2 linked regions of the Mus musculus genome follow. The protein of the gene in region 1 interacts with the protein of each later gene in a pairwise test. Links are inferred from orthologs where the notes say so. Each region holds a gene or a part of one and is shown on either strand. Other genes may lie near its edges. The genes, in order: Csde1 and Hid1.

Evidence for each region.
Region 2: the proteins of Csde1 (region 1) and Hid1 interact in binary tests that used the Homo sapiens proteins (3 or more experiments, as listed by UniProt). The two-hybrid records come from large-scale screens. The link is inferred for Mus musculus from reciprocal best matches to the Homo sapiens genes CSDE1 and HID1.

What each region holds. Positions count from the first base shown.
Region 1 is NC_000069.6:103,039,978-103,051,605, forward strand, and holds part of Csde1 (cold shock domain-containing protein E1), read left to right. Parts: coding exon 1-65; intron 66-463; coding exon of another isoform or gene 464-556; intron 557-1,167; coding exon 1,168-1,265; intron 1,266-3,179; coding exon 3,180-3,261; intron 3,262-3,579; coding exon 3,580-3,708; intron 3,709-3,828; coding exon 3,829-3,954; intron 3,955-4,651; coding exon 4,652-4,864; intron 4,865-6,807; coding exon 6,808-6,948; intron 6,949-7,036; coding exon 7,037-7,201; intron 7,202-9,643; coding exon 9,644-9,751; intron 9,752-10,320; coding exon 10,321-10,496; intron 10,497-11,062; coding exon 11,063-11,175; intron 11,176-11,628. UniProt on the Homo sapiens protein: RNA-binding protein involved in translationally coupled mRNA turnover.
Region 2 is NC_000077.6:115,361,321-115,373,454, reverse strand, and holds the start of Hid1 (protein HID1), read left to right. Parts: upstream 1-5,698; 5' UTR 5,699-5,845; coding exon 5,846-5,911; intron 5,912-11,610; exon of another isoform or gene 11,611-11,666; coding exon 11,667-11,816; intron 11,817-12,134. UniProt on the Homo sapiens protein: May play an important role in the development of cancers in a broad range of tissues.

The sequences.
Region 1 (11,628 bases):
CTATTGCTATTAAATTGGTGAAGATAAAACCAGAAATACATCCTGAAGAACGAATGAACGGACAAGTTAGTGACTTTGATACTTTGTATTTCCTTAGGGCCCCATATTTGCATATTTTTCACATTAGAAAAGGAAGATTGTCCCTTGCCTCCTCAGTTTGCACGAAGAGAGCTCTAGTATATAAAGATAACTTTTAAGATTAGATCAGAAGCACTGGCATTTCTTGACCTGAACTAAAAACATGGTCAAGACTCAGTTTGGGTTTTACATATAACCCTGAGTCTTTACTTACAGTCAATTTGCATACTGTAAGTTTGAAACTTGGCAGCATGACATCCTCTTGTGGATCATATTAAAATGCATCCCTGTATATAGTATAGAGGATATTAGAACTCAGTTTATATTGCACAGTGCTGCTCCTGAAATGATTAGCAATGGAAATTTTTTTTTTTTTGACTGGTAGGTTGTGTGCGCTGTTCCTCACAACTTAGAGAGTAAATCTCCAGCTGCCCCGGGTCAGAGTCCAACAGGGAGTGTATGCTACGAACGTAATGGGGTAAACTTGTGTATTTTTCTTAAACCTTTGCCTGATCCATCATGTGATCTATAAGCGTACTTTAAAATTCAAAGTAGAAAACGTAAGCTAGTTGCTAAAATCACTTTTAAATTTGGTTTTATGAGGCTTCAAGTGCAGCATAATAAAATTATTTTTAAAGAAAAAAATCCATAGGACTTCCAAGTGTGTTAGCTTGCCCAAGTGTGACCTTAGTTAGAACATTAAGGTAAAATGCTCCTTTAAATCACTTTTTGGTGGGTTGTGGGGAAGGGGATTTATTTCTGGTTCCTTTTAAGCACTAACTCCAGTTTTTTTATTTGGAATGCCTTTTGTAAAGATTGTCTTTTTGAAATGTAACTACAGTCTCTGGGCAAATGCTTCCACGTGTGTAAGCTTTTTGAACTTGGATTGCTGCTCAGCTGTGGACTCAAAGAAGTCATCAGCACCATGGAGGGGAAGTGTGATTATGAATAAGACAACTTACTTGTTATACTGCATATAACTAAGAACTGTGGCTTTAAAATGCCAGTATAAGAAGTATTTGAGTAAGTGACATTGTACAGTGAATGTGCATCCTGTTGAGATAATAATAATAGCTGGTTAATTCACAGGAAGTATTTTATCTGACTTACACCTCTGAAGATGTGGAAGGGAATGTTCAGCTGGAAACTGGAGATAAAATTAACTTTGTAATTGATAACAATAAACAGTAAGTTCTCTTCAGTATTTTCCTAACCTAAATGATTCTTTTTTGGTTACATTAAAAAAATTTGAAGTGAGAGCCAGGTGTGGTGTTCTGTCCTGATAGTCCTAATACTTGAGAGGTAGAGACAGTATCATCAGGAGTTATAGACCAGGTTGTGTACACTGGGTCCTGTTTCAAATACCAAAAAGAAGGAAAGTTGGGGTGGGAGGAAAAATCTGAAATTATTTAAACACCTAACTGACAAATCTGGATACTTTTTATGACCCTTGAAGATTTTGTCCAGCAGCTTGAGACCTTAAAGGTCTGTGACTATTCTATAGGCAGGTATCAGAGTCTAAAGGTGACTAAAACATTGTCATTTTCAGGGAACTGCCTATTCAGTGAAGATCTTTATTAGGGACAAATATGTAAGATTAATTTTGAAAGAACAGTGAAAAGTCAGATAAGAAATGAGTAGTATGGTCAGAGAACTATCAGACATTTTGGAGAAAATGGCTAGAAGTTTGAGTTAGCTTTGTTGATTGGGCTGCAGGAACATGAGATGAGCTTTATTATACAATTCTTGCAAAACTTGGAGTAAGGTTAGAGTTGTGTAAGTGCTAAAGATAGCAGGCTCTTGAACAATAGGGATGCTCTAGACCAGGAGTGTGATGCAGTACTATAGAAAATAAAGGGTTTATATGGATCAGCCAAGATAGGAATCAAAGTTGTTGGAATACTGGAAAATGAAATTGGGTTATGGGTTTATATATTTTAGACCAAGGGTTTTAATTGAATATGAAGTAGAAAACCAAGGAATAGATAATGTAAGTTTCAGAAGGTAGCCACTCTATTTCACCTTTGCCAAAGATTTGTACTAAATAATTTTTTTACCTAGTATATTCTTATTTAATGGTTACTATGTAGACCAGACTGGCCTCCAACTCAGAGTGATTCTTGCCTCAGCTTCCTGAATGCTGAGATTAAAGACATGGACAACCTATCCATATAACATACATACACAGAGAGTGAGTTTGTGCACATGTGAACCTTGTTTGTACAGTGCCTTAGGAAGCCAAGAGAGGGCATCATATCCTCTTGAACTGGAGTTTACAGATGGCTGTTGACTACACCCACCATGGGTGCTAGGTATTGATCCCATGTTCTCTACAAGAACAGCAACCACTCTTGACTACTGAGCAGTTTCTTCAACACTTACACTTAGTCCTCAAAAAAGCAGTACCTCATTTGTCTGTCTGAATTTTTGATAGCTACTCTTCTCTAAACATGTTGAGCCCAGCAATAATTTTGTATCTTACATAGTTTACACTGTGCTTGAAATAAACTTGAGTTGAAAGCATGGCAAAGTCTCCTGTCTCTTAGAGGGCAGGAATAAGGAGGACAGTCTAGTCTGGTGAACACCTTTAATCCTAGCACTCAGGCAGTAGAGGCAGATGGATCTCTCTTGAGTTTGAGGCCAGCCTGGTCTACAGAGTTGAGTTCAGGACAAGCCATAGTTGCACAGAGAAACCCTGCCTCAAAAAAATAAAATAATAAGATAAATTAAGAGGATAGGTACTAAGTTTAGTACTTCCCAATAACAGATTTTTTATTGTTATCATCAGTTCCTTAGTTTATAAAGTGTAATACTCACCCTGCTGTGAAACCAGTGTTCTCCACCTTCTTTAGAAGGTATCTACTTTGGTAAAGTCAGGAATTTATGAAGAAGAAAAAAAAAATCCATGTATGAATTTTAAGTCTGAAAGATGGGGAGTTTGAACAAAGTTTTTATCCAGAGAAGATTGGGTATCATAAACCTTACATTTGTTCTTAATAATGAGAGAATTTTTAAGACCTAGGAAACTACTTTGTGATTATAGACTCAATAGTTTCTAACAACCCAGAGGATTTAACCTTCATTTTTCATTTCTTCTCTAGCACTGGTGCTGTAAGTGCTCGTAATATTATGCTGTTGAAAAAGAAGCAGGCTCGCTGTCAAGGAGTAGTTTGTGCCATGAAGGTAATAGTTAATAAACTTGAAATGTTTAGGTTTGCTGTTTGGTTTTTTAACTGCTTTTAAGCTTTGTACTACAAACCCAAACCACTTGCTTCTCCTGCCTCTGCTTTAAGACTATTTCCTTGTTAACTAAGTTCATAGAGCTTCTTGATTGCGAGTCTTTAGGTCAAGTCTTGGTAAGGTAGACTTTACAGAGTTGTACTCTTTGGCCTATAGTATAATTTTAAGATAAAGCTTACTGATTTTTTTTTAAGTTGTAATCATACATTTGTATATTGATTGGTAATTAATGATTTTGTATTTGGGGGCTTTTTGCTTTAGGAGGCGTTTGGCTTTATCGAAAGAGGTGATGTTGTAAAAGAGATATTCTTTCACTATAGTGAATTTAAAGGTGACCTAGAAACCCTACAGCCTGGAGATGACGTGGAATTCACAATCAAGGACAGAAATGTAAGATGGGTCATTCACTAACTCTAAATTATTGCCCTTTTTAAAGATTAGTAGTGGATTATATATTTAAGAAACGCTTAAAATTATGTGACCCCTGCCCACTTCAACCTCTTGATTTAGGGTAAAGAAGTTGCAACAGATGTCAGACTATTGCCTCAAGGAACAGTCATTTTTGAAGATATCAGCATTGAACATTTTGAAGGAACTGTAACCAAAGTTATCCCAAAAGTACCCAGTAAAAACCAGGTAAATTGTCTTTATCAGCAATGTCTTCTTCTGACCAATCAGTACAATATTATGATGATACACTAAAGGTGGAGTCTGTTTGATTGATGTAGTTGTGTGTAGTGGGGTGTATCTTTTAATAGGTATTTTAATTAAAAAAAAAAAAAAAACAAAAAACAAAATAGATGCTGATGGTGTGGTTCAGTGGCAGAGGGCTGACCTAGCATGCAAAAGGCCCCCAGTACTGCAGAAAGAAAAGAGACACTAATGAACGGTAGGTTGATGGGTATGTTTTTGCTTATTTGATTTTCACTGAGTGATTAAGATTAAAAGAAACTGTTACCTGAACTGGGGAAGGTCCTACTGAATTGGACTGCATGTGCTACTTCTCTGTTCCCCCGTCTTACCATTTGTTAACTGGTGGGAAGTAAGGTGAAAGGCATCATTGCTGGATAAATGTGAGATCCAAAGGGCTGAAATGTTTTTCCTTAGCAGTTCTTGATATCACAGTGCAGTGTTAACAACAGTGCTTGATTTATGGTTGTCATGGGACCTTAGATGATGAAGCTTTTATATTGGGCTTATATTGTCAGCACTTTTTTCCCCTTCAGGCTACTACTATATTATAAATAAGCTATTTACTGTGTGTTCTTCTTGTTTGACTTAGAGCTAAAAGGATGAGAAATCTCCAGCTAAAATCGTTTTTCCTTCTCATCAGAATGACCCATTGCCAGGACGAATCAAAGTTGACTTTGTGATTCCTAAAGAACTTCCCTTTGGAGACAAAGACACAAAATCCAAAGTGACCCTGCTGGAAGGTGACCATGTTAGGTTTAATATTTCAACAGACCGACGTGACAAATTGGAACGAGCAACCAACATAGAGGTTCTATCAAATACATTTCAGTTCACTAATGAAGCCAGAGAGATGGTAAGTGTTTAAGCATTGCTGGAATTTTATCTGACATTTAGGGTTCAGTGATGGACTCTGATTTACACTGTTGGCTGGGAACTTCTTAGGCTGATGACTAGTGAATAAAGGTGTCTGTTCCCAAGCCTGGTAGCCTGTGTCCTAGTCTGCACTGATGGAGAGGCCAAGAAGAACACACAGAGGCAAGTTGTTAGAGGATATTTCTTGTAAGCTAATGCCTGTTGGGAAGTCACTTTATTAAGTAGCTAAGAATCCTACATATTTGAATTAGTTTGGGCTTAGTTCTCTTAGCTATCTTGGAAAGACATATAAATTAATTTTAAATTAGAAAACCAGATAAGGGGATTGCTAATGAAATGTGAATAAGACATCAGGAAATATATTTTCTTAAGATTTCCTCTGTGATGTTTAGTAAACAGTAAGTTAAACAGCACTAAATTGATTTCACCGCTTTTATGGTAATAGTTTGCTTTTTTTAAAGTGAGTATATGTCTGAATAGTATGTACCTGATTTGCTACTCAGGTATGTCTTATAAACATTTTGTAGACTGACTTTTCTCAGGTATAGTTTGTATTTAGTGTTGTTTGGAATCATACTATCTGTAGCATGTCTCAGTGTTGGCAATAAAAACAGGTACCTTTTATTTTTTTGGTTTTTTTGAGACAGGGTTTCCCTGTATAGCCCTGGCTGACCTGGGACTCACTCTGTAGACCAGGCTGGCCTCGAACTCAGAAATCCACCTGCCTCTAACAGGTATATTTTTATAAGTTGTTTTTTGAGACACGGTTCCCCTGGAACTCTTAGGCCAGGTTGGCCTTAAACTCAAAAAATTTGCTTCTGCCTCTTGAATGCTGGTATTAAAGGTGTGCGCTACCATATTCCTGGTCCTCCTCCTCTTGTTATTCATTTGTTTTATGTGTATGAAAATTTTACTTTCATGTGTGTACCTGGTACCCACAGCGGCCAAAATTGGACATCAGATTCCCTGGAACTAGAGTTCATCATAGTTAGATGTGAATGCCTGGGATCACTCCTGAGTCCTCTGCAGAAACAAAACAACACAACAAAAAGACCCTCTTCCCAAGCAGAGTCTCTTTTCTCTCTTTATGGTATAAAGTATATATTTTGGTTACCATCAGAAGTTTGACAATGATTAAATTTAAAAATACTCAGGTCATATTCAAAGCTAGTAGTATCCATCTCTGCAGTAAATATGCAATGTGAATCTCATTGGATAAAAATCCATGAGTGCTTCTGAGTACTGGGAATACAGTGATCTCACAAACCTACATTTTCATAGGATAAAAGAAAACAAGGAAGAAGAAGAGACAGTAGAGTGCACTTTGCTTTTTTTATGTGACTAAAGTCACAAAAGCAGTAAAATATTGCTTTTATGATTTATTTATGAAGTATATCAGTAAATTTTTGAAATTCTTTTTTTTTTTTTTTTTTTTAAGATTTATTTATTTTTATTGTATATAAGTACACTGAGCTGTCTTCAGACACTCCAGAAGAGGGAGTCAGATCTCATTACAGATGATTGTGAGTCACCATGTGGTTGCTGGGATTTGAACTTCAGACCTTTGGAAGAGTAGTCGGGTGCTCTTACCCACTGAGCCATCTCACCAGCCCAATTTTTGAAATTCTTACGTTGTCATTTAGTTTATGTATTTGTGGTTCAATTCATAAGGCTTTATTTTTATAATATATATTTTCCAAGGAGTGGGACCTGGAAATTCTTTTTTTCGAGACATGGTTTCTCTGTGTAGCCTTGGCTGTCCTGGAACTTAGAAATTCGCCTGCCTCTGCCTCCCGCGTGCTGGGACTAAAGGTGTGCGCCACCACCGCCCGGCTTTGATGTTGTTCTTTTTTTTAAAAAACAAAAACAAAACAGAAAAACCTATATAACCAGTTAAAAATGTTAATTTGTGTTTTTATTCAGGGTGTGATTGCTGCCATGAGAGATGGTTTTGGTTTCATCAAGTGTGTGGATCGTGATGCTCGTATGTTCTTCCACTTCAGTGAGATTCTAGATGGGAACCAGCTCCACATTGCAGATGAAGTAGAGTTTACTGTGGTTCCTGTGAGTAGCTGTTGGGGAAAGTGTTAAGGGTTGGTATTCTGCTGTCTCCTTTGTAATTTTAATTTTGTTGATTTTGTTTAATTTGTAGGATATGCTCTCTGCCCAAAGAAATCATGCTATTAGGATTAAAAAACTTCCCAAGGGCACGGTTTCATTCCATTCCCATTCAGATCATCGTTTTCTGGGCACCGTAGAAAAAGAAGCCACTTTTTCCAATCCTAAAACTACAAGCCCAAATAAAGGCAAAGACAAGGCAAGTGTTAGGTGATCCAGATGGTTTGTATGTCTTTTATCTTTGCCTCCAGATTGCATTGTAGCTCATATAGTGAAGTATCGTCTCCTTTTTAAAAATTCTGTATACAGCAGTGTATTAGTCAGGGTTCTCTAGAGTCACAGAACTTATGGGTAATCTCTATATAGTAAAGGAATTTATTGATGCCTCACAGTCTACAATGCAACTCCCAACAATGGTCAGTAGCAGCTGTGAATGCTCAGTCCCACACGGCAAGCACTCGAAGGAGGGGGGGGTGGAGAGACTCGCGCACACTCTTGAGACCACTCGCCTTCCTTCTTCCAATGTCCTTATAATAGTCTCCAGCAGAAGGTGTAGCCCAGATTAAAGGTGTGTGCTACCACACCTTTAATCGAAGATGACCTTGAACTCGGAGATCTCCCTGTCTTAATCTGGGGTCCATAGCCACTAGGCCTCAAGATCCAGGTCAGAAACTTGTATCTCCCAGCCTCCAGATTAGGGTCACTGGTGAGCCTTCCAATTCTGGATTGTAGTTCATTCCAGATATAGTCAAGTTGACAACCAGGAATAGCCACTACAACCAGCCATGATGATAGTGGACTGTGATTCTAGCACTTGTAAGGTGCACAAAGGAAGATCAGGAGTTCAGTCATTCTCAACAAGTTAGAGTATTCGGACAAGCTTTGTTTTTATTTTAAAATATTTGTATGTAATAATAACATTTCTTAGCTTCATCATCTTTGACTTTTTGCAAGGGGGATGGATGTTTTAGCCAGTATCCTTGCTTCTTCCTCATTTGAGAACCACTTATCAAAAGCTCTTATCCATAAAGAGGTTAAAGCTTTCCAAATTTGATGCATTGCATTCACATATTTGTACTTCCGTTTACTAAAAAAGTCTGTTGCCTATGCAAAAGTCTTAAGTTGTGCGCTCATAAATAATACATTATGGGACTTGTACAGAATGATTATTATAAGATAGCAAGTTTTCTGTAGTACCAAAGGCATTGGGGTTGTTACTAAGCTATATTTGCCATAAAGGCCTAGATTAAAGGCCATGTAACCTTCCTCCTCCCAAACACATAAAACAAGTTTGAGAAGATGCTCTGGCAAAGTAAATAACTGGGAAGGTCTTGGAATGGTACTCTTAAGGTGTTGGCATTTAATATGTAGCAATAGAAAGGGCATTTCTGACAGAATAGAGGTCAACACGAGGGAAAGAAGGCAGGGAAGATTACTTTAGAAAACAGCAAGTAACCGGTTTGAAGAAGGTGGACTTTGGTTTTGATTGAGGGAGAAGAGCATCGATGATTGCTCTCTAAATTCAATAATGAACTTTTTGTGCAATACTTCAACATTTTCAGTTGGGTAATGGCATCAGTTATGGACTTAAGGAACAAAATTTTATCATTGTAACTCTAAACAGAGTAGACAATTTTAAGGTGCATGAGAGACTTACTGTAAAACAAATCTTTTAAAATTACCATAAAACAAAACAAAACAAAAAAGAAGTCTCAAAAAAAAATTACTACCAAGGGGCACTTGTGGTTTTGTACAAACTTCTAAGTAACTAGGGAGATGGTTTCACTAATACAAATTGCCTATCTGGTAAATTACTTAAGTTTAGTAAATTAGTGTATAAGTAATTATAAAGAATTTTAATTAAGACAAGTAACCTAGTTTTGATTATGTAATCGCAGTGAGGTGTAAGGGAAGAAGACAGATTGATGATGTGGACATTATCCCCATAGAAATGATGTTGAACCATAAAAATGTAGTGTATGTGGTTACTGGTACAGTGACATCACTTACTATCAGGTTGTATGTGAAATGTGTGTACAAAGTTTTCATCATTATTGTAGAAATACTGGTGTATTGTAATGTTTCTAGTGCTTTGATTTGTGCTAGTATTTCTTTCTCTTTTTAATTGGGGATTGAACCCAGAGCTTTGGACTTGGTAGACAAGGGCTCTGTCAGTGGGCTACAGCCCCAGCCCGATTTGTGCTAGTTTTTAAACCAAGTTAATTTCTCACACATTGATAATAGTGACTAAAAACACTGAAGTGCTCTGGGACAGTAAAGAGGATATTTTCAGCTGCTACTTTAAGAATATTAAAGAGTTTTCTTCATGAGAAAACTAAGCTTCATGCTCCACAAAATTTTCTCTTGGCTAGAAATGTCATTCTCAGCTTAATTTTCTGATAAAACTGAAAGGCTCAGTGATAGTAGATTGAGGCAACTCTGAGTGAAGGCAAGCATACCTTTTATTCATGCATTTTGTCTTGTGTTGTTTAGAGGGTCCTGGAATAAATTTCTGTGGCTCTGCCAATTCTTTGTGTTAAGGATTCCTAAGTTACTGTAATTATATATCTTCCTTCCCTTTTTCTGTTATCATTTGTTAGTGTTCTTGAGGATATTTAATTGTGTTTTATATTTTCTTTAGGAGGCAGAAGATGGCATTATAGCTTATGACGACTGTGGGGTGAAACTGACGATTGCTTTTCAAGCCAAGGATGTGGAAGGATCTACTTCTCCTCAAATAGGAGATAAGGCAAGATGGTTTTACTTACTTGAAGAAAGGTTAAAGGTTGTCTTGATTATATTTGCTAGAGGATGGTTTAAATTTTGCTAAGTTTGGCTGCAGCATTTTTTCACTGGAAAGATGAAATACATAATAAAACAGGGTCTTGTAGCTTATGAAACATACTGAATGATAGGTTTTTAGGTTTGAGTTCTTTTTAGAGATGAGTGTGTGGCATACTTGTAATTCTAGCAGTTAGTAGGTAAGTGCCACAACCACTAGATACAGTCAGACAAGTAAGCTAAAAGTACTCACTAAAATAAAACCAGTATAAAATTACACCAAAAATTTACATTGCCTACTTTTTAGACAGCCTCTCTATAGAAATTAAAACTACAAAGTGTACATTGACAGGCAAAACTTAAATCATTTATGAATTGAGACAGCAAGTGCTTTCTGTAAATTTTTCTGTCAGAGTAATTACAAAATAGATCTGGAGTGAAAAGCTTGGTCTGGGGGATGTTTTGGGTCAGCTTCTTAAAGGTACAGAGCTTGTGGAAATGACAATGATACTAACTATCATCCTCATCGTTTTGTAGGTTGAATTTAGTATTAGTGACAAACAGAGGCCTGGACAGCAGATTGCAACTTGCGTGAGACTTTTAGGTCGTAATTCTAACTCCAAACGTCTCTTGGGTTATGTGGCAACTCTGAAAGATAATTTTGGATTTATAGAAACAGCTAATCATGATAAGGAAATATTTTTCCACTATAGGTAAGGAATGCCTTTTGGGCAGCAAACTATTCCTATTATATTCTTTTATATTAACGTTTCAAAGAATTTAATATAGGTTGATACTTTTTGGTAATTACAATTTTTGAGACCCAGCTTTTCTATTTGTAATTATGGCAAGTTACATACAGGAGTTAGGCATCTGCCATAAACATAGAAATGCATTTACCTGCCTTTACATATTTTTATTATACATATTGGTACTGGTGTGATAATACAGTTATAGCATATAGTAAAAAATACGGGTTCATTGAACCAAAACTAAGTATTTTAATTTTGATCTAGGTTCTCCCACTTAATATGTTACTTTCATCAGATTGTAACTTTTTGATTTCTTTACCTTCAAGCTAGAAATAGTGGTAGCTCAGTTTATAGGTTCTTGATTGGGGGGGGGTTGTTTTAAGGATTTAATGAATCCGTACCTTAAAACAGTATCTTAATATATGCAGACCTCCCATGGATGTTGGAAGGAGAAAAGGCTCCATGCTACTATTGATATTAGTGATAGTGGCTTATTTTAATGTCACTTTATTATCTTTTCCCTTTAGTGAGTTCTCTGGTGATGTTGATAGCCTGGAACTGGGAGACATGGTTGAATACAGCTTGTCCAAAGGCAAAGGCAATAAAGTCAGTGCTGAGAAAGTAAACAAAGCCCACTCAGGTAATGAGTCATGACTCCTATTCATCCTATGCTTTGACGGCAGGATACAGGGTCGGGAGAAGGATAAGGCCATACATGTTCTGTAACATTTGCTCTCAGGTACCCAGAGCAGCAGTATATATACCTTCACTGTTTGTCAATTATTCATGTTCTTGACACTACCAAATTCTGGGCATGACAGTTTGTGCATGATTTTAGTAACATTTCAGAGATAACATTTTGAATTTGGAGGATGTGGCAGTTTATTAAGAGTCACTATATAAAACCTTAGCTTTCTTGGAACTGGCTGTGTTGATCAGGCTGACCTCAAACTTGGAAGAAATTACTGGTTCTGCCTTCCAAGTGTGTGTGTGTGCCGTCGTGCCTGGCTGGCATCTGATCTGGGGTGCAGTGGAGTTAGGGATTATGCATCTCCAGTAATTAAAGCCCGTCCTGCTTTCTTTTAATCCGAGA
Region 2 (12,134 bases), on another chromosome or scaffold:
TCCAGTAGTCTATACTTCCCAAGTGCTGAAGTTACAGGTGTATGCCATTACTCCTGATGTATGCTGGAGACCGAACCTCAAGGCTTTGTGAACGAAACACTGTGCCAACAGAGCCACTTCCCAGATCTTTTTTTGTGTGTGCTTTTTGCTTGGTTTTGTTTTGTTTTGTAGCTCAGATTATTTTTCCACTTACTGTGTATTCTGTACGCCATAACTACTGTAGTCACAAATGCATACACTATCACACAACCACACATACATACATGCATGCATGCATACATATATACATTTATACAGGACTAAAAGAAAGTAAATCTTAGTGGGGAGGTGGTGGCACATGCCTTTAATTCCAACTCTTGGGTGGCTAGCCTGGTCTACACAGCAAGTGCCAAGACAGCCAGGTCTATAAAGAGAAATTCTGTATTAAGAAACAAAACAAGGGCTGGAGAGATGGCTCAGTGGTTAAGAGCACTGACTGCTCTTCCGAAGGTCAACCACATGGTGGCTCAGAACCATCTGTAACAGGAACTGATGCCCTCTTCTGGTGTGTCTGAAGACAGCTACAGTGTACTTACATATAACAATAAATAAATCTTTAAAAAAAGAAAAGAAAATCAACAACAAAAAGAAAATAAACATAGACAAAATAAAATAGTGCCAAAACCACACGTTTCTAATCCATATTCAGGTGTGGTCATAGTGCATTCCTCCAGCCACTGGGAAACTGAGGCAGGAGAACCAGGAGTTCAAGTCTGGCTTTGGTTACATAGTGAGTCTGAGGTCAGCCTGGGCTATAGGCGACCCTGTTCAGAAACAATAAACAAAGAAAAATGAGGAACCAGGGCTGAGAGCTGGCTCAGTGTGCTGGCTTCTCTTCTAGAAGATCCAGGTTCCATCCCCAGTACCTGCATGGCCCCTGCAGGCACTGGTGTGCAGACACACTAGTGTAGACAAAACTCTCGTGTATATCTTTTTTTTTTTTTAAAGTAAAACAAAGTAAAGAAAAATAGTGGTTAAAGTTTTAAGGAAAACACTAGGGGCTGATATAACGTGTAGGGGATGGGCAATCTCTCAGAAAAGAGTGACTTTTAAGATGAGATGCCACAGGAGGAGGAGTGGGTCAGGCAATAGAACAGAGGACCAAGGGATGTAAGAGGCTTTGGGAGTGACCTGCACAGAGGCCTATGCAGGAAGAGGGGTGTGGGCTTGGGAAACCAGAAACTGAGAGAGCAAATACAGATTGTTTGTTCAGGCTGTGGAGACTCTGTGTGTGTGTGTGTGTGTGTGTGTGTGTGTGTGTCTGTGTAGCCCTGGTTGGACTGGAATGTGCTATGTAGACCAGGCTGGCCCTGTATTATTCACAGAGATCCACCCACCTCTGCCTCCTGACTGCTGGGATTAAAGGTGTGTGCCACCACACTGACAGCAATGTGGTACTTTTAAATGTGGTGCCAAAGGTTGGGCATGGTGGAACATGCCTGGAATCTTAGCACTTGGGAGATGGAGGCAGGATTAGGTGTTAAAGATCATCCCAAACTTAGATATTTTTTTTTTCCCTCTTGGAGAACAGATGACAGGCCTGACTTCTGAGTATATTCGCCTGTGTGTGAGTGTACACTGTGTATGTAGGCCAGAAAGGGGTATTGGATCCCCTGGAGCTGAAGTTACAGGTTGTGTGTGTGCGCTGCTGGACATGGGTGGTTAGAACTGAACTCAGGTCCTCTGGAAGAGCAGCAAGCACTCTAAGCCATGGAGGCATCTCTTCAGCCCCCGGGAGTCAGAATTTTGTCTTCCGACCCAGCTGAGCCCAGTCTCAGGGCTTCTCTCGGGCTTAGCATGTGTGAATGAAGAAGTTCCCAGCTGGTTCCGTCCGTCCCTCAGCTGTTCAAAGATAACACTTCCCCAGCCTTTCCAGTCTCCCCAGCTGAGGCCCAGACAGTGTGGAGTAGAAACCAGCCATCTCAGCTGCATCCCCATTAATCACGGACCCAGGAATGTCAGAGACAGTGAAATGGTCATTGTTTTATGCCATTTGGTGGGGACGTTGTTCTGTGAAATGCTTCCGAAAATCTCCATCTGGTGGACATCCAACTTCCAGGATTCCAAAAGTTTTCCCTCCTTGATGCTGCCTTGGTTCAGCCCTTCCCCCCGCTCACCATCTCCCTGCCTGCTCCCAGTATTCAGGTTTCTGTCCCTCCTGCATCAGCCAGGACAATTTGTTAAGACCTAATGTCATCTGATGACGTCATTTCTCCACTTCAAAGGCCTTTTTAGTGGTTGTGCCATACAATTAGAGTTTATTAGTTTGTATGTAGTCCTCTAGGGTCGGCTCCTGGGCTATCTCAAGTGTTATCTCCCATCGAAGTCTCCCTCCAACCAGGTCTCTGGACATGAGTCTCTCTAAGCTCCAGGCCTTTCTGCGGCTTGCTCTCCCTAATGGCTGGAAGCTGAAAATTTTCCACTTGTCTGTGTAGATTTCCTTCTGTTTCATTCATATTCCATGGCCGAGCTTTCCCGAAACTCTGTCACCGGCTTTTCTCAATCTTCTGCTTTCAGTGGGTTCACCTGATTAGCAGGAAGCAAGGCAGGAGTAAAGTGGGGTGTTCATTCCAACTTTCCTTTTCTTTGTGGAGACTACAGCCCAGGCTGGGGGTTCTTCTCTGGTGGGCTCCCTCTCCCTGGGCACTGGCAGCTATTCCTTCCTTTGCCCCTTAATGGTCTCAGTAACCTGTTCCGACCCCATAGCGCTTCCCTGTGAGAAACCTCTCTCGAGTAATCCCTCCTCCATCTGTTTCCAGCCTGTCTAACATTCTCAGTCACCTTCCAAGCTTCAGCCTAGACTCTCCTCCTCAGCCACTTTCTTTCTTATCTAGCTCTACCAGGGCCCTGAGTAGAGATTGACTTTCAACGTCATAGCTCTCAATGTCTTGATTTATTGGCAGTAGAGACATGTACAGCTTAGGCCCTTGCCTCCTTCAATGGTACCCGGCACTTAATAGGATCTGAGTCAATGTCTGCCGGATGAATGATGGTTGAATTTAGAGAAAGGACTCCGGAGAGGGCCACAGGAGCCACTGACCAGTGAGTCTTTTATTCTGGCCACAAAACAAGGACATGACATGCTTTCCCATAGCCAAGAACCTTCCAGAAGATTGTCACATTGATAAGAAAAGAGTAATTTCTCTACGTGTTCAGAGGTCCAATTTTATTTACTGATGGTGCCTTTATGCAGACAGATTGTTTTCTGAAAGTGTTTACTATGAAAATGTTTACATGTATACAGTCGTAGAGAGACTGGTTTCCTGAGTTAGTTTCTTTGCCGCTTACAGCTTTTATTTTTCTTTATTTTTGTAGGGCTGGGGACGGAACCCGGCATCTCCTGCATGCTAAGCAGGCAATCTGTCAGCTAAGCAGCTCCCCATGTTCCTTGGCCTTCATTTTAAAAGTCCAGTTTATTGAGGTGCAGTTTATATACAGTAAAGCTCACTCCCTTGAGGCCTATTGTTATGAGAAAAATCAAACAGAAAGTTTTCATTGCCCCACTAAGTTCCCTCCTTATCTTTCTCAGTCCACCCTTCCCACCTCTGGCTCCCAGCAACTGCTGGCTTGCTTTCTGCTCCCACGGCTCCACCGTTCCCCGAATGTCTATAAATGATAATATAGTATATTATAGCCAGGAGGGGGGCAGTGTATAACTGTAATTGCAACACTGAGGAGGTGGAAACAGGAAGATCAGAAATTCAAGGCCAATCTCAGGTACATAAAGAGTTCCAGGTCAGCCTGGGCCACAGGAGATCCTGTCTGCAAATAAGCAAAGAAACAAGAAAACTTTATATTCAGCTAATACCTGATCCACCAACCAACTAAGCCAGAGGCAGATTAATTTCTGTTATCTTAGGCAAGCTGAAGATTGGAATTTGATAGTCTCACTGGGACTCTCTTGAAAGCCCACAGGTCAGTGGTGTTGGTGCCAAGTGCTGGTCCACAGATTCTCAGGTATTATTTGTTTGAGATGGGGTCTTGCTGTGTAGCTCTGACTGGCCTGGAACCAGCTATGTAGAACAGGCTGGTTTTGAACTCAAAGAGACCTGCCTGCCTCTCCCTCTTGTGTGCTAGAATTAAAGGCCTGTGTTAGCATACTTGGCTTGGTGCTATGCTTTTTTTTTTTTTTTTAAACTGAATAAAGAAACCATTCATTATCTCAGAGTGATTACAAAAAAAAAAGCCCTGGGGGCACACCCAGAATTTTGTAGGGACAACATACCTTTAGAGAAAAGCTAGAGCTACCCAATGCTGTGGCTTGTTCTGTGAGGTAGTGAGACCATGCCCTCTCTCTCTACCTCTACACCTGATCCAGCTGCCTTGATGGAGCATACTCCTTATTTTACAACTCCGGGATCCCCCTTTAGATTAAAGTCATGTTGTTTAGAACTATCCAGGATTCTCAGAAACTTCTAGACACAGTAACATGATTGTGTGAGGGGTGGGACACATACATCATACATGGCCCTGGCTGTCCTGCTGTCCTGGCTTGCTATGAGATATATATATATTAGATAAATACCAGATTATTTTGGATTTTGCCAATGCTGGTCTCAAACTCACTATTCACCAAGGATGACAGTCCCTCTTGCCTTCACCTCCTGAGTTCTGAGATCTCATATGTGGATCAACTATTTTTATTGGGTTGTCAGCTATTACTCTTAATTTAATAATTAGAGTGCTTGCCTAACATCCAAGAACCTCTTGGTTCAATCTACAGCACCCCATAATACCAAGGGTGATCATGGAACCTGTGACCTTGGTACTTGGGAGATGGATTAAAAAATTCATCACCAGTAACAGTGAGTTCGAGGCAAGCCTACGATAAACTCCTCACAAAACAAACACAGTGTACTAGGCTATACCATGGGTAAACTCCTTTCTTCTGAAACCAGGATCTGTGATGTTTATGTCATGTCCTCTACACTTCAAAGAGTTCTCAGGGAAGCCAGGGAGCTAGATAAGCGTCAAGACCCAAGGGATTTTTCACTGCTGAGCTGCCTTCCTGGAACAGGGACACTGAGTCAGCCCATCCTTCCACACAAGCAAGAGCTAAACCTTTTAAGGGTTAGAATAACTTCAAGGCTAGACACGTGGATTTGATAGGTCAGAAAGAGAAGCAAACAGAAAGAAAGGAAGGGAGGAAGAAAGAAAGGAGAGGAGAGGAGGGGAGGGGAGGGGAGGAGAGGAGAGGAGAGGAGAGGAGAAAAAGAAAAGAAAAGAAAGGAAAGGAAAGGAAAAGAAAAGAAAAGGAAAGGAAAGGAAAGGAAAGGAAAGGAAAGAAAAGAAAAGAAAAGAAAAGAAAAGAAAAGAAAAGAAAAGAAAAGAAAAGAAAAGAAAAGAAAAGAAAAGAAAAGAAAAGAGAAAAAGCAAGCAAGCTCAGATAGCAACAATAGTAGGAAAGCATGAACATCAGGTAGAGAGGATTGGAGGAGAAACTGCGGGTCTGAGCAGGAATGAAGAATGAAGGTGGAGGCAGGAGATGAGATACCAGGAGGGTTTCAGTCTTGCGGACTGAGGATCGAGGACAACACTCAGTTGCAGACGAAAGGACCAGGAGTTGGGTTCCACGGAGAACTCCGGACTTCTTCTTGGAGGCCTGAGCGGCAGGTGCAGAGGCGGGGCCTCGTGGGGGCGGATCTAAAGGCGGAGCCACAGGGGCGGGGCCGACGCCTGCGGCAGGCGGGGTTCGCAGCTTCGCTCCCCAGAGAGCAGCCGGGGCTGCGGAGCTGGAGCTGGAGTCACAGCCGGAGCCCGCGGCAGAGTCGGAATCCGGGGTCGGGCTGGAGCGGGGTCCATCGACATGGGATCCGCAGACTCCAAGCTGAACTTCCGGAAGGCGGTGATCCAGCTGACCACCAAGACGCAGGTGCGCCTGGGGGCCCAGCCTCTTCATCCACCTGCCGGCCCTGGGGGCAGGGCAGGGCCGGGGGGGCTGGGTGAACACGGTTCACCCGAGGGTGGGGTGACCGGCTAATCCAGAGGGGGATGCTGAAACAAGCACCGGAACGGGACTTTTCCTTTGTAACTAGGGCTCCATCCCTGCCTCTGGGAGCCCACCCTATGCCTACTCTCCCCTGGGAACACTCTCCCGGGCACTGCTGCTGCTGCCACCTTAGGCTGACGTGTGCCTACTCCTGGAGCCGGCGGCGACAACGTTATCCGCCCCCTGTCCCGCCCCCCCGGTGCCCGCAGCCTCGCTTAGCCAGCCTCTTCCCGCTCCCACCTACCCATCCATCGCCCCGCTGGTCTCCCTGCCCCTCAGTGCCCATGGTCCCGGACATACAGCCCCGGCTGACTCAATGCAAACAAAGCCGGGCCGGCGCCTGCCTGGGTTGGGGAAAACAGCTGGTGCGCGATGGCAGCGGTGGCAGCGGTGGCCTCTCTGGGCCCTGGCTGATGCCTGAGGGTAGGGAAGGCCCAGGTCTTCCTGGGAGCTCATAGAGTGGCAGGCAGCGGCAGCTGGGTAAGAGGAGCTGTCCTCAGGCCTAGGGAAGCCAGCTTTCCAGCTAGTGATGATCCAGGGGCTTCTCCAGGCCCGGTGGAGCTGATTGGCTGTGCTTTTTGGCACCCGGAATAGGGATTGGGGTTTCGGGGATGAGGAGATTATCATTGGTCTGTTGGAGAGGGAGCCATGGGTAACTCCAGTCCACACTCCCCCCCCCCATCCCCCGTGTCTACAAGTGTCACAGAAGCTGCCTCCTACCTTCAGCACACACCTCTTGACCCAGCAAGGTTCCTTCCCTGTCGTCCCTTCAATCTTTATTTCTGGAAACCAGGCTACTCTGGTTATGGAGATACCAGCAGCCTCTCCAAGGCCCTGCCTGTCAAAGGGCTCTGGACCTACTGCCATCTGGAACCCCACCCCCATCCGACTGTTCTCAGAGCTCTATATTGTTCTTGGCCAGTGTGAGTGGGATCAGGAGAGCTGCCTACCCACAACCAGCCAGTCACAGCCTCAGAGAGCCGACCACTACTCCCACACCCTGTTACCCACCTTGGGAAGGTCAGAGGCCGAGGAAAGGAATGCCAGGGCCTCTAGAGAGCCTGTTTCTATCTGAGGGGCACTTGGCGGAAACCAGAACTGCTTCTCTTTGCTTCCTGTGGCTTGTTCCAGAACCTCAGACGTGAGACTCTCCATCAGTGGGTAGCAGGAAAGGGTGGTGTGTGGTATTTTGCACAGTGTAGGGTGGTGAGAGCTGGGGGAGCGTCTCCCATGTTTGCCCTGCCTGGGGAGGGGCTGGCTTGCTGGAAGATGGTTTGGTGGGCTGAGCAGGTCCTTTAGCAGCAGGATTAAACCAGCTCTAGAAAGGTGGGCAGTGACCTGCTTAGGAACCCTCCCCCTGAATACTACATCAGTAGGTTTGTACCTGGTTGAGATAGTCTGTTCTCAGATGAAGACAGTTGCTTGGATCAGGGTCTAGAATAGATTGGAGACCCAGTGTGGACTACTCCCCTTCTTCCTCCCCCATCTTCCTCTTCCTCCTCCCCCTTCTCTTATCTCTCTTCTTCCTCTCCCATCTGTCTCCTTCTTTTCAGTTTATATTATTATTATTTTTGGTGTGTGTGTGTGTGTATACATGTGTATCATGTATATACATGAAGGTCAGAGGACAACAATGGGAGTCAGTTCTCTTCTTCCACTATGTGGGCCCTAGGGATGGAACTTAGGTTAGGCTTGGCAGCAAGCACAAATTATGTTTACCAAGCATTTTTACCAAGTGCCTTTACTGCTGAGCCATTCACTAGCCTGTGGGCCTTCTCATAAGCATGGGACTCTCACAAGTGGGTGGGGGCCAAAGCCTTGGACTCTAGTGATCAGCTTTGAGCAGCTGGGATTCAAGAATCTGGTCCGAAAAGGTCTTCCTGGACCTTCGAACTCAGTATCCCCAAGGGGCTGCAGATGTGATGGCCACAGGATGACCTCACTTCTAAGCCCTCCGAGGCTGTGCTTTGAGCAGTAGACAAGTGGACCTTACTGTAGCCTGGGTCTGAGCTCTTGCAGGTCAGCCTTCCCTGCCTTCCTGCCCTGCATCCTGTTTTCTTCCTGCCCTATTAGCCAGCCCTGGGCAGGGCTTAACCCTAACTCTGAGACCAGCCACATTCTTGACTCTTTCCTCACTTGGCTGGGGCCCCAGAGTGGGGCACTACAGGATCAGAGACTCTCCCCCAGATTCTGTTCATTGAGGATGCTCTGCTGCAGGCTAGGGTAAGAGCTGATAGGTGTGTGTTCACACGCATGCATGTGTGTGAGCCTAGAATAATACTTTGATCACCTGTCAGGACATATCGTCCTTATTGGGCTAGCTCAATGCTGGTTTTACCCCTTACCACTCCCACCCTAGAAGGAGACTGTGACAACCCCAGCTTGGGGCTGGAGAGATGGTTCAGTGGTTAAGAGGGCTCCAGCTACTCTTTCAGATGAAGAGTTTGGTTCACAGCACCCACGTTGGGGTGGCTCACAACTACCTGTGAGCTCTGGGGAGATCCAACACCTTCTGGCCTCTAGGGGCAGCCTCATGTATGTGTACACGCAGAGAGAGACACATATGCACATAAATAAAAAATAAAGTAAAAAAAATGTTAAAGCTACAGCTGGTCCCTCAGCCAATGCAAATGCCTAAGACCCAGTGGGATCAGGGGAGGAAGTGCAAGCTGAGGCTAACAATCATGAGGTCCTATGTTCAGTCTCCATAATGAGAGTGACTACAGGCTAGCCCCGGCTACATGAAAAAGGTGGGGGTAGATAGAAAGATAAATGCTTGTTTATGAAGGTTTTTTCCCCCCTCTGCTTCTAGGTTAGACCTCTAAGGCCCTCTTATGTCTCGTTTGGATTTCAGTTCCGAGGTGATGGTTGTCTAATGAACTAGGTCAGTGGTCAGCTCCATTTGTATTCAGCGGGGGCTTCGGCCCCTTTAAGGGATGCTGACTCCCTGAGAGGTGAGCTGAGTATTAGAGGCTTTCAGAGGTGCTCCTGATGAGGAGGATCTCCACAGGCCTTTCCTCTGAAATGTCCTTTCCCACTGCGTTCTGGCTCCAGGCCACCAGGACTGGTGAGGCTGAGGTCCAGCAAACCCCAGCTCCAGGGCCTCTCCTTTAGCCTTTGTTTACCTTTGGCTGACTTGCTCTACCAGTTCTGGGACTGAGGGTGCAGCCACAAGTTATCCTGGGGCTCCCCAGAATGGGGTGGAGGGTGGGCACTTTGGTGAAGCCTGCAGCCCCAGCCTTGGGTTTGGGCAGCCCCCTGGCACTCAGCCTTGTCAGGACCTCAGCTTCATCTGCCTCAGCTTTGAGAGCAGGGCCAATGCTGGGCTGCTGGGCTGTGAGGTGAGTGGATCTAGACCTGAGTCAGGAATGTGGGGTGTAGAAGTTGGGGCTGGAGGTTCCCAAAGGAGAGCATGCCTGTGTGGTGTAATGGTACACCCTGACCAAAGCAACTTGGGGTCAGGGCAGGAACTCCAACAGGGCAGGAACCTGGAGGCAGCAGCTGGTGTAGAGGCCATGGAGGGGGCTGCTTACTGACCTGCTCCCCATGGCTTGCTCAGCCTGCTTTCTTATAGAACTCAGGACCACCAGCTCAGGGATGACTCCATCCACACTAGGCTGGGCCCTCCCCGTCAATTACTAATTAAGAAAATGCCTCACAGCTGGATCTTATGGAGGCACATTGATTGATTGATTGATTGATTGAGACAGGGTTTCTCTGTGTAGCCCTGGCTATCTTGGAAGTGACTATGTAGTGCAGGCTAGCCTCAAACTCGGAGCTCCACCTGCCTCTGCCTCCCAAGAGCCGGGATTAAAGGCGAGCGCCACCACCGCCCAGCTGGAGGCATTTTCTTAATTGAGGTTCCCTCTTCGCAAATGACCCCAGCCTGCATCAAATTGACATCAAACTATCCATCCCAGCGGAGAATTCTAGAAGTAAAATTTATCATGGAAAATGGTTGCCTTGGTTATTTGCCTGTATGATTGTCTATCTCTCAAGGACCATAAGTATGTATTTTAATTTTTCATTTTTATTTATGTGTATTTCTTTGTATGTATGCCACAAGTGGGCATGTGCCTATAGAGGCCAGAAGTGGGCGTCAGACCCCTGGAATTACAGAGAACCAAACCTGAATCTCCTGGAAGAGCAGCATACACTCTTAACCTCTGAGCCATCTCTCTAGCTCCCACATAAACTCTTCACCTCTGAGCCCGCTCTCTAGTTCCCATGACCACATGTATTTTAAAGGCTTGTCTCAATAGGACCTTTGGAACTTTGTTTCTTACGTTAGTTCCTAAGTTTTGAGACAGGCACTTACTATGTAACTCTGCCTGTCCTGGAACTCACTCTGTAGACCAGGCAGGCCTCAAACTCAGAAAGATCCACCTGCCTCTGCCCGCCAAGTGTTGGGATTAAAGGTGTATGCCACTACACTCAGCCTGTTAAAATTAAAAAACAAATAAAAAACCATCTTTGTTAGGATGTGTGTGTGTGTGTGTGTGTGTGCTTGTATGTATAGGAGGGAGGTTTATATTGGCTTGAAGTGGACAACTTGTGGGAGTTGGTTTACTCCTTCCGATGAGCAGATCCTGAGTTTGATACTCAGGTCATCAGGCTTGGTGGCAAGCCCCTCTACTAACTGAGCCATATCTCAAGCCCAATGTAATTATTGCTGAAATGAGAAGAGTATAGTGGGAAATATACAGCCTGGGCAAAACAAAAGAAATTTACTGGGGTCATGTCTAGGAGTAGTAAATACAGGAGTGTGTGTGTGTGTGTGTGTGTGTGTGTGTGTGTGTTGTTGTTGAGATGAGATCTGTTGAATCCCAGGCTGTCCTTGAACTCACTCACTGTGTAGTTGCGGGTGACCTTGTACTTCTGATCTTCCCAAGTGCTGGGATTACAGGCCCTCACCTCCAGTCCTAATGTACCCAGTGCTCGAGATCCCCTCCGGGGCTTTGTGCAAGTGCTCTATCAACTGAACTACAGCCCAGCCTCAAGGCCTGTTTAAGATCTTGGATGAGTGTTGAGCTGATGTCTTGACTTGGTCCAGCAGGCAGTGGGGGTCCCCGGGGGCTTTTAGATGAAGGCTCTGTGGCTTTGGCTATTGCATGGGGTGGAGGCACTGAAGTGGGGGGGGTGATTTGGAGGCTGGGGCTCCCTGAAAGTGACTGGAGCTGCAGCATGGGCCAGCAGCGGGTGCTGAGAGGATCGTGTGGAGGTTGGTGGGTCTGGCACTGGTGGCTGTGCTGAGAAAGGGTTGCTTGTGAGAAGACAGCACCGGTGACTGTGAATGGGGTGCGTATGCCCTTTGGGGGAGAGCCTTGGTCTAGTTCCTAGACACTTGACCTACTGGTGTGGCCGTGGGATGTGATCTGGTGATGATGTCAGCTCCTCTTTTAGAGAAATGTGTGCACTTAGCCAGAGACACACAAACCCTCGGTGACACAGTGAACTTTAGAACCTAGTGGACCCTCGCCCATACACACCTATCTTGTGGCAGCTGAATAAGGTCGTTCCAGATGGGGAGGCTCCTGGGCGCTGGCTGGGATGGAGGATAACCACGGTGGCCTCCCTGCCAGGGCTCATCTGTGACTGTTGGGAAAGGTGTAACTCTGGATACTGGATCCCCCTGTAGCCCGTGGAAGCCACCGACAATGCTTTCTGGGACCAGTTCTGGGCAGACACCGCTACCTCGGTGCAGGATGTCTTTGCGTTGGTGCCGGCAGCAGAGATCCGGGCTGTGCGAGAGGAGTCACCCTCTAACCTGGCCACGCTGTGCTACAAGGTATGAGCTGTCTGGCTCCTCACAGCTGTCCCCATCCTTCCCAGAGAGGCCGAATGGCCTAGTCCACGCAGAACAAAGTACTCACATCTCACCCACAGGTTCTAGAGGTCTAGCCTCTTTGCCTCCAGTTCTCCTTGGTGGGGGTGAGGAAAAAGTAACCATGGCCCCTGCCGCCATTTATCAGAGCTTTAACTTATCTTTCCAGACACCACCTCACTTAGCTTTTCCTGTGAGGTGCTCCAGCCTCCAAACAGAGGTTTCTCTGTTACAAACGAGGTCTTAAAAAAAATTGCCGGGTAGTGGTGGCACACTCCTTTA